3 linked regions of the Callithrix jacchus genome follow. The protein of the gene in region 2 interacts with the protein of the main gene of each other region in a pairwise test. Links are inferred from orthologs where the notes say so. Each region holds a gene or a part of one and is shown on either strand. Other genes may lie near its edges.

What was found.
Region 1: the proteins of OTX1 (region 2) and COMP interact in binary tests that used the Homo sapiens proteins (3 or more experiments, as listed by UniProt). The two-hybrid records come from large-scale screens. The link is inferred for Callithrix jacchus from reciprocal best matches to the Homo sapiens genes OTX1 and COMP.
Region 3: the proteins of OTX1 (region 2) and CHIC2 interact in binary tests that used the Homo sapiens proteins (3 or more experiments, as listed by UniProt). The two-hybrid records come from large-scale screens. The link is inferred for Callithrix jacchus from reciprocal best matches to the Homo sapiens genes OTX1 and CHIC2.

Annotation. Positions count from the first base shown.
Region 1 is NC_133523.1:17,495,903-17,499,909, reverse strand, and holds the start of COMP (cartilage oligomeric matrix protein), read left to right. Parts: upstream 1-1,207; 5' UTR 1,208-1,228; coding exon 1,229-1,307; intron 1,308-1,566; coding exon 1,567-1,652; intron 1,653-1,886; coding exon 1,887-1,938; intron 1,939-2,328; coding exon 2,329-2,501; intron 2,502-3,166; coding exon 3,167-3,304; intron 3,305-3,569; coding exon 3,570-3,644; intron 3,645-3,732; coding exon 3,733-3,891; intron 3,892-3,968; coding exon 3,969-4,007. UniProt on the Homo sapiens protein: Plays a role in the structural integrity of cartilage via its interaction with other extracellular matrix proteins such as the collagens and fibronectin.
Region 2 is NC_133515.1:51,063,952-51,066,182, reverse strand, and holds part of OTX1 (homeobox protein OTX1), read left to right. Parts: intron 1-193; coding exon 194-345; intron 346-1,632; coding exon 1,633-2,231. UniProt on the Homo sapiens protein: Probably plays a role in the development of the brain and the sense organs. Can bind to the BCD target sequence (BTS): 5'-TCTAATCCC-3'.
Region 3 is NC_133504.1:142,680,000-142,683,961, reverse strand, and holds the start of CHIC2 (cysteine-rich hydrophobic domain-containing protein 2), read right to left. Parts: upstream 2,801-3,962; 5' UTR 2,443-2,800; coding exon 2,324-2,442; intron 1-2,323.

The sequences.
Region 1 (4,007 bases), on a different chromosome or scaffold from region 2:
CCAGATGAGGGCCTCACACCCTATTGTATAGATTGGAAAACTAAGTGGGCAGTCCCCTTGGACAGGGGGCAGGGCAAGATCCTGAGCACTGCCCCTCCTCCACCAGCTGAGGGACTATGGGGAGGAGGAGCACCAGCAATGAGCTGGGTTGGGAGGAGCCATTTGCAGCCCTCCAGTGTGGCGACTAGAAGCAAGTCTCCTTGGACGTGCAGGGGAGGAAACTGAGGCACAGACATAATTTATCCAGTTGTTTTTCTTGGTGGGGGACAGAGTCTGGCTCTGTTGCACAGGCTGGAGTGCAGTGATCTCAGCTCACTGCAACTTCCACTGCCCCATTCAAGTGATTCTCTGCCTCAGCCTCCGGAGTAGCTGGGATTATAAATGGGCCACCACACCCGGCTAATTTTTGTATTTTTAGTAGAGACGGGGTTTCACCATGTTGGCCAGGCTGGTCTCCAACTCCTGACCTCAGGTGATCCATCCACCTCAGCCTCCCAAAATGCTGGGATTACAGGCATGAGCCATGGAGCTCAGCAATTTACCCAGTTTTGAAGCACATCAAGAGGGAGTGGAAGGCCAGTCAGTCTGACCCATAGTGGGTGGGCCTATTCTTTCAGATACTGTTTCCCCACGTGTGAGCTGAGGGCGTGGCCAGGGAGCCCGATTTGTTTGGAGCTGGAACCCAGGCTTGGCAAACAGCAAGCACTAGACCAATCATCAATCAATGAATGAGCTGAATGCTACAGCGGAGCCTGTAATCCCAGTTCATGGAGGATCGCTTGAGGCCAGGAGTTCCAGACCAGCCAGCACGACATAGACCCAGTCTCTAACTCTAAAAATAAAAATTTAAAAAAATTAGCAGGGCATGGTGGTGCAGCCTGTAGTCCCAGCTACTTGAGAGAGGCAAGAGGATGTGATATAGCCACACCCTATCTCAAAAAAAAAAAAAAAGTGAATGAAAGTGGGGAGGCACCCCCTGACTCCCTGCCCCACCAGTTCTCTCCCCACAGATCCAGGGACTCAGTTTCCCCACCATGTCAGATTCAGCCGCGGGTGACTACACAGGGCATTCTGGGCGGGGCCTTGAATGCAGGGCCAGCGCCATCTGTTTACCTTGAGGCTGGACGCTGGGCAGGGCTGCGGTGGGCCGTCCCTGGGGCCGGCCGTGCCTTGGGGATAAATAGGCCCCGTGGGCCTCGTGGGCGGTAGACAACGCCCCGCCACCGCCATGGTCCCCGCCACAGCCTGCGTTCTTCTGTTCACCATGGCTGCCCTCGGCGTGTCTGGCCAGGGCCAGATCCCTTCGGGTAAGCCGCGTTAGCACCCGCGCCGTGGCCACCGCCCCAAATGGACTGCAGGACCCGTGAGAGGCCCGGGGTCCAGGCTGTTTGGGGGCTCACGGACTGTTCACAGGGGACGTGCGGGGCACAGAAAGCAGGTGGCGGGACCGAGGCTGGACGAGCGGAGTGGGGCGTCGGGTCCAGTGTCCGGGTCCGCTGCGGCGGTGGGAGTTGGTGGTGGGGTTCCCCTGCCCCATGACGCCTCACAGGTCCCCTGTCGCCGCAGGCTCAGACTTGGGCCCGCAGATGCTGCGGGAACTACGGGAAACAAACGCGGCGCTGCAGGACGTGCGAGAGCTGCTGCGGCAGCAGGTGCGGGGCCGGGTGCGGGGCAGGGAGTGCGGGGGAGCGGAAGGGGGTCTCGGTTCCCATCCAGGGGAGAGGAAGTCCCTGGAGGGCAGAGGGGAGCTGGGGAGGGAAGGGGGTCTGTGGGTAGGGAGTCCCCGGTGAAAAGAGGCGGTGGAAAGAGAATCCGGGGCAGAGAGAGGGGAGACCCGAGGGACCAGGAGAGGTTGGGACCCCACTGATTCCACCCCACCCCTGCAGGTCAGGGAGATCACGTTCCTGAAAAACACGGTGATGGAGTGTGACGCATGCGGTGAGCGGGCCGGGAGAAGAGATGGGGAGACAGAGACACAGAGAGACAGAGAGCGAGGGAAAGCTGGGGACAAAAAGAGACGGAAGGAGATCGAGGCTGACAGAGGTGGAGGGAGACGAACGGGAATGAGGGGGAAGGAACAGAGACAAAAAGAGACAGAGGCGGTGCGAGAGTTTTGGGGAAGTGAGAGACGCCGCGGGGCAGGAAAGAGCAACAGAGACTCAAAGAGAGACCAGGGAAAGAGTGCAAGCAGAGCGCCCAGCCCCGCCGGGGAGGGATCGCTGAGAGCTCCGAATTTCGGACCGCCCTCGGGGCGGGGGCTAGGGGTAGGGGGAGAACTTCCAGCCCCCGGGCGTGGCTACGACCAGCCCCACCACGTTCCCCCTGCAGGGATGCAGCAGTCCGTGCTCACCGGCCCCCCGAGCGTGCGGCCCCTGCTCAGCTGCGCTCCTGGCTTCTGCTTCCCCGGCGTGGCCTGCATCCAGACCGAGAGCGGCGCGCGCTGCGGCCCCTGCCCCGCGGGCTTCACCGGCAATGGCTCGCACTGCACCGACATCAACGAGGTGCGCCGGCCCCGACACCCCACCGCGCTGACGACCCCCTCTACCGCCCCCCAATCTCTCGCTGTCCCGGAGACCCCTTGCTCCACTTGGGGTGCTCGCCCCGACAACCCTCTCACCTCCGGGGGCACACGGCCGGGCGATCTCCCTACCGCTGGGGGACGCCCACCCGGAGGACGATCCACGCCACCACCCAGGACGCCCGCCCCCACGACCCTCTCCATAGCTAGTGACGCCCGCCCCGACGACTCCCACACCGCCAGGGGTGGTCGGCCCTAGCTACCCTACTCGCCGCAGGGAGTCGCCAGTCCCAACGACCCTTCCATAGCCGGGGAACGCACGCCCGGACGACACCGCCACCGCAGGGCCCGCACGCCCAGATGATCCCTGCCCCCCTGTGCTGGGGATGCGCACCCTCATCCTTCCTCCCCTCGCCCATGAGGGAACAGCCCCTGGAGGCGCCCTCTCTTCTCCTCTCCCGGTTGCACCCTTGCCATCAAGACAAAGTCGCATCTGACCCCTGCGACAATTGCTTCCATCTCGCGTGGAGCACAGCTCCAAGCGCTGGCTGATGACTCTTGAACTTTCCAAATCCGAAACACTCCGAGGTGTGGCCCCCAGGGCCCAGCTCGAAGCTCTCTGACCCTCCGTGGCCCCTCCTCCCCCAGTGCAGCGCCCACCCCTGCTTCCCCCGCGTCCGCTGTATCAACACCAGCCCGGGATTCCGCTGCGAGGCTTGCCCGCCGGGGTACAGCGGCCCCACCCACGAGGGCGTGGGGCTGGCTTTCGCCAAGACCAACAAGCAGGTGAGGGGTGTGGGGGCCCCATTTCTGCAGCAGAAGGGAAGGGGGCGTCCATTTTGTTTACTAGTAAACGCCTCCTCCAGCCTCACGCACTTTTTCCAGCTTTCTACCAGCGGGCGGGACGGAGAGAGGAGGGTCCGCTGCGCCAGGGCTTATCGGTTGAGGGCAGGATGGAGGGGAGAAGGCAGGATGTGGAGGAAGCGTGGACCAGGTGGGAGGTCCGAGGTATCTGCGTGGGGTGGTGGCCTCTGAGATTCCCCTCCCCTAGGTTTGCACGGACATCAACGAGTGTGAGACCGGGCAACACAACTGCGTCCCCAACTCCGTGTGCATCAACACCCGGGTAAGTCCCGCCGGGGAGGAAGGACAGATCGCGGGAGGTGGGGCGAGGGGCCGGCGGCCTGCGCTGACCTCCAGCGGCTCGGGCGCAGGGCTCCTTCCAGTGCGGCCCGTGCCAGCCCGGCTTCGTGGGCGACCAGGCGTCCGGCTGCCAGAGGCGCGCGCAGCGCTTCTGCCCCGACGGCTCTCCCAGCGAGTGCCACGAGCATGCGGACTGCGTCCTGGAGCGCGATGGCTCGCGGTCGTGCGTGGTGAGTGCGGGCTGGCCGGGCGCGAGGCGGGCTTGGGGGGCGGCCACGCCGGGGCACCCACTTACTGTCTCTCGCAGTGTGCCGTCGGCTGGGCAGGCAACGGGATCCTCTGTGGC
Region 2 (2,231 bases):
TCCTAGTCGCACATAAGCACTTTCTCCCACCTGTGGCCTCTCAGGCTCGGCCGCCGGAGGGAGTTTCTTTTATTCCCAGTTCGGCTTCTCTTGAGAAGGCCGAGCTATGAACCTGCCAGGGGCTTCCCAGAGTTCACTATCCCTGGTCCGCGTGGCCACCAATGACCCGCGGCGCCCCCGCCTGTCCCCACAGCCACTCCGCGGAAGCAGCGGCGGGAGCGCACCACCTTCACGCGTTCACAGCTGGACGTGCTCGAGGCGCTCTTCGCCAAGACTCGCTACCCTGACATCTTCATGCGGGAGGAGGTGGCCCTCAAGATCAACCTGCCGGAGTCCAGAGTCCAGGTCCGCACTCCCCAGGCTCCAGGGTCTGGGTAGGGGCGCTGTGGCTGCTCGGGGAAGGTCTCGGAAGGCTCCTGGGGAGTTCTGAAGGAGACCGGCCTGCAGGGGTGGGCTGACAGACTGGGCAGCCCCTCTCGGACTCCCCCTAGCGCTGGGCCCCAGCCAGGAAAGGGGGCAAAAGTTAAGGGAAATGGCTTAGAGCCCTAGATTCCGCCCTTAGCCCTAGGACGCCTTAGGTATTGGTATTGAAAGTCCTTTTTAGAATTGCAGGAGGACCAGGGAGGCTCCCGAAAGTAAAGCACCCTGCGGGCCTGACACTTGCCCCTGCTTCTTCGCCTGACCCAGGACTTGGCAGTTTCCCTCAGAGGCCTGAATTCTGCCTCTGCTCTTGGGTTGCACCCTGGGAATCCTAGAAATGAAAGAACGGAGACTGGCCAGAGCCTGGTGCTCTGCCTGGGTTTCATTAGACGCTTCCTCTGCTTACAAAGGACGCCAAGTGCAAAACCCTGCTACCGGCTTTCTTATTTCTGTTTTTGAGATGAAAGGGTTCTGATGATAATGCTCAGATTCTAACTCCGAACTCTCCTCAAGAGCCTTTTGTCTCGCCTCCTTTACTCGAAGGCTTGAGAAGGGGAACCAGGAATGCAGCGCCATGTGCTGGGACTCTCCCAGAAGAGGGACCATTCCATTTGGTTCCCCAGCTGGAGCCAAAGACCCAACGAAATCTCACCCAGGCTTCCTTCCCGAGTCCCTCAACTATTGCCTCTGTTTAGCCTCTAGCCTTGCTCCTACTCCCACCCAAATACTTGCCCTGCCCAGTTCTGGCCTCCAGGAGTTGCTCAGTAAAACGGCTCTGGCCCTAGACTTGGTAACTGTTCTACACTCTTCTGTTTTGTACCTCTCCGCTGTTGCCTGAGCTCTATTAGAAAACTGGGCCTCCAAACATACACGTAAGCAGCCAACAGCAGCAATTTAGAGATGGCAGAACTTCTGGCTGGACAGACTCAAATATTCTGCCCTAGGGCAGAGTTGCGGTAGGGGTGGGGAGGTGCACATCCCTACTTTGGAGCCAGCTGAGGAAGGGCTTTAAGCAGAAGGATGGAGGAGGGTGGAGGAGCTGGGAACCGAGGTGGGGGGCAGGGTCTGGCCACCCCTGAGGCAGGAAGGGGCGGAGGCCTCGGTGGAAAAGGGTTGCGAGATTCTGGGCGGGGAGTAGGGTACTAGGGGCGGGGGAGCAGCAAGCTCCCCTCGCCCCCCTTGACCCACTCTCTCCCATCCGGCCCACTGCAGGTCTGGTTCAAGAACCGCCGCGCCAAATGCCGCCAGCAGCAGCAGAGCGGGAGCGGAACCAAGAGCCGCCCAGCCAAGAAGAAGTCTTCTCCAGTGCGGGAGAGCTCGGGCTCCGAAAGTAGTGGCCAATTCACGCCGCCAGCTGTGTCCAGCTCTGCCTCGTCCTCTAGCTCGGCATCCAGCTCTTCTGCTAACCCAGCGGCTGCAGCGGCTGCGGGACTAGGCGGGAATCCGGCAGTGGCCGCCGCGTCGTCGCTGAGTACACCCGCAGCCTCATCAATCTGGAGCCCGGCCTCCATCTCACCAGGCTCAGCGCCCGCGTCCGTGTCAGTGCCGGAGCCCTTGGCCGCGCCTAGCAACGCCTCGTGTATGCAGCGCTCGGTAGCTGCAGGCGCCGCCACCGCAGCAGCCTCTTACCCCATGTCCTACGGCCAGGGCGGCAGCTACGGCCAAGGCTACCCTACGCCCTCCTCTTCCTACTTTGGCGGCGTGGACTGCAGCTCGTACCTAGCGCCCATGCACTCGCATCACCACCCGCACCAGCTCAGCCCCATGGCACCCTCCTCCATGGCTGGCCACCATCATCACCACCCACACGC
Region 3 (3,962 bases), on a different chromosome or scaffold from region 2:
GTAAAACTAAAGTCAATCACTGTTATGTTTGACAATGGCAGTTCTAATTTCTTAGTACTGTTTTATACCTGTTTCTCAAAGTGGAAAACTGTACCTGAGGAGGATAATAATAAAAGCTAGTATCTAGTGAACATAGTACCACACACTGCAATAAATTTTTTTCATGTACTACTATCTCATTTAATCCTTAATAATCTTAAAAGGTATGGACTCTAACTATCCCCGTCTCAACTAAAGGCCATAAATAAATAATTTACCCAGGAAGTGGCTGAGATAGATTTTAACCCATGACCTAGAACCAAGATAAATGGGAGGAGAAGGAAGTTGTTGAGAAGATCAGAGATTTAACTCCCAAGGTAGAAAGGCATACTGTTTACTGACAGCAGATAATCCCTCCCTATAACCTGGAATAGTTTTCAACTTTGGCTACACATTAGACTTACCTGTGAGATTCTATTATTTATTTACTTATTATTTTAATTATCCATGTCTAGGACCCTCATTTAGTGCTTGGCCTTCAACAGGCCTGGGGTGGAGCAAAGGCAAGGGTCTTTTTTAAAGCCACTCAGGATTCTAAGGAACAGCTAAATTTGAAAACCACTAATAATTCTTTTCTATCCTATCAGCCTCTCCAAGTAGCCAACTACAGTCAAGTTTACTGATTACCTATTTGGTTCTGAGTACTTTGCCCACTATTACATTTTCCACTTACCCAACAAAGTGCTTTTCTTCTCCTTAACAGAGGAAACAATACAACTACAGTACCGCCTTTTTAAACGACAAAATTCTGCTAGCTTTTCTTTGACATGAGGAATGTAGTGGGAAGGAAAGATGGCATGACAAAGTTTGGAAATAATTTCTTTAAGCATCTACATACTCCTTAGGCTTAAAACAATGCAAAAACATCCTAAAAGTCAAAATAAAAGCAAATGGTAGGTTATGAGTTCTGTGATATATGTTAAAAGTTTAATATTCATGATATTTGGTTATATTTCTCAAGCTGGTAATGATAGAACACTTAGAAAGAGTCATGGTGGTGATAAATTCCACTGTCCTGTCATGGTGCTATGACAGCAATTATGCAGTGCCCTGTTAAGTCACCTGAATATAAACTAACAGGTGCCAAAGAAATCAAAGCATTACATAAGTATACCCAAACGACAATATGACTGGTCATATCATGTAAGAAATGCAATTATTTTGCTGACAAACTTATATGAGAAGTCTTACTGTTTCCCTAAGTTATTCACAGCACATCCCACTCACTGTTCGCCAAAATATAAAGAAGACTGTTCCAGACATTCTGCAACTTGCTGGCCCTTTTGTTTTACTGAAAAGGGGAAGAAGTACAGAGATATCTGACAAGTATGGAAGTTTGATCTATGACTTGAACAAGAGATCTAAAATGAGAGAGTATCAATATATCAGGTGGTACAAAACTGTGGACTTCACAGAGAAACATTACAAAACTTCCTACTTCCGGACAGCTCATTATTTGGTTCAAGTCTTCACATTCCTTTATTTGTCACGGCCTTTCCGAAAGCTCTCCTTCCTTATGGTTTAATACTAGACTTTTAATGTTACTAGTGGGACTTACAGGGACTCTTAACACATTAAGAAGCTCCAAGTTCATGCCCCAAGGAGGAACTTTGGGACTACAATTTTCCCTCAGTAACCTGAGCAGAGTGTATGTCCCTCACGTAGATTTTTTTTTTAATTTGTCGAAAACATACTTCTTTCTGCATATCTTAAATTTGTATTCAACTATATATTTTTATCACGTACAATTACAAGAACTTGCGTTAGTTCTGCGGAAATTAACTCTGTGGAAGAAGAACTGGAAGACCTGTGAGTATGTGTGAAATAGACACGACAGGAGCCTCGTTGCCAATTGTCACTGGGGTCTCACACGGCCCAGATCTGGCCTGTGAGCCATGTCACCGGGTGCAAAGGCACAGAGAACCACAGGAAAACTGGGCGAGAAAACAAGGAGGCTCCCTGTCAATACCCGTACTTCCACCCTGAAGCTAGCTGAAGGGTGGCCTGCAGGGCAGACCCTAATGAAAACCCATGCCTACTGGGATCATCACATCGCCGGGCCTGTACGGCCTGCTAAAGGGGTGTGTGGAGGAGAAAGGACAGCGTCCGTCCCCACTTCGGAGACCCAAACAAATGAAAATAAGGCAAGTTCTTACTTCCTGGTCGCCTACTCTTTCCGAAGGCCACCGACACCAGACGGACACCGACGAAAGGGGACTCCCATGGAGTAACGGGGCCCACCCCAGCCCCGCACCTCCCGCCCTCGCCCTTCTCCGGGCCTTACACGGTGACGTGACCGGAGCCGCGGACCACCACCGGGTCCGGCGAGTACTTGAGCAGCTGCTCCTCCAGGGCCCGCTCCTCGTCCTCCTCTTCCTCATAGATCTCGTCGAAATCCGCCATCCTGAGCCTCCGAGCGCCCTTGCCCAAAGGGGCCTGACTCCCGGGGTTGGCGCCGGGGTACGGGCGGGCGAGGCGGCGGAGGCTGAGGGGAGTCGCCGCTGCCGCCGGCTCCGAGGCCGCGGAGTTCCCTTTCTGATGTCTTGGCTCCGGCTACAGAGGAGACGGCGTCTGGACCATCGCCGCTACCGCCGCCGCCATTACTATCAGCAATAACAACAACACAATGTCAACATCCGCCCAGGGGCCGACACATCCACCAGCACAGCCGCCGCTGCCGCCGCCGCCGCAGCAGCAGCAACTCAGGCAACCACAGCAACAGCCAGAGCCACCCGCAGCGGGAGCAGCCGGCTACGGCATCGCGAGACTTCCCGGGCGTGCGGACGGGCGGGCGCGTGCGTGGGCGCGTGGGCGAGTGGGCGCTCGGGCGGGCGGGCGCGCGCGCGCACATGAAGCCTCGCGCGCTCCCAGGCCTCCGTCTTTCCTCCGCTACCACCCGCCGACGGTGCATGGGGCGCGCGCTCCCGCCAGCGCGGCCCCGCTCGCCGGCTCCGGAGTCGCGGACCCGGGGGGCGGCGGCTCTACTGACTAGAGGCTGCAACCCCACGACTCAGACAACGCAGCTCAGAGTGTCCACTGGGACATGCAGTTCCCCAAAGTCATCTCTAACCCAAACAAACAATTGAAAAGAAAAGCCCTGGCTGGAATCGACACATTTTTGTGCGTGTCATTGCCAGTTTATCTGATAATCGCATCTCGCTTTTCCTCAGGTTTTCAGTCTATGATGAGTACCAGAGTCTCTTTTTTCCCAGTTGGAGGAGCGCAGCAGAGACATTGCGAACATTTGTGTCCACTGTAGGATTTTCCAAGACGCCTCCAATTTCAAACATCTTGTCCCTTAATCCCCTTAAGTATAATCCAATATATGAGTCCAGTGATGCTGGTATTTTTTTGCCTTACAAGAAATCTCACCATAGTCATGCTATGAAAAAGCTGATAAACTACCTGGATTCCATATTAGAAGATGCAGTAACCTGTTTCTTTCCTTAAAACCTTAGGGAATTCCTTTTCTTACCAGCTCCTCCCACAGAAAAGACCTTGGAAGAAAGGGAGAAAGAAAAGGAAGCAGGAAGGAGAAAGGATAGGACGAGAAGAAGGAAAGAAGAAAGGGGGAGAGAAAAAAGGAAGGAGGGGAGGCTGGAAGGAAAAGGTTTAATGGAGTCTACTTATCTGCCTAGTAAGGGCTGAAGGGTCACTTTGGGTACTTGGTTTCATTAAGCATACAAACAGTCCAGGAGCAGGAGTGGATTTCTGAGAAGAGAGTCCTGGACAGTGAGGATACACCATGGGAGAAGAAAGGATAATTCTACTGAGCCCAGCACTGGTCACACTATTCTCCAAGTGAGGCAGTGTTTATGTCACAGTAATTGGCTTTATAGATGGGTCAATGCTAACATGGAGAAAGTCCAAAGGAGGTCAATGAAGACAGTGAGAAATGCCAACCTCCTATCGGTAACTGAAGG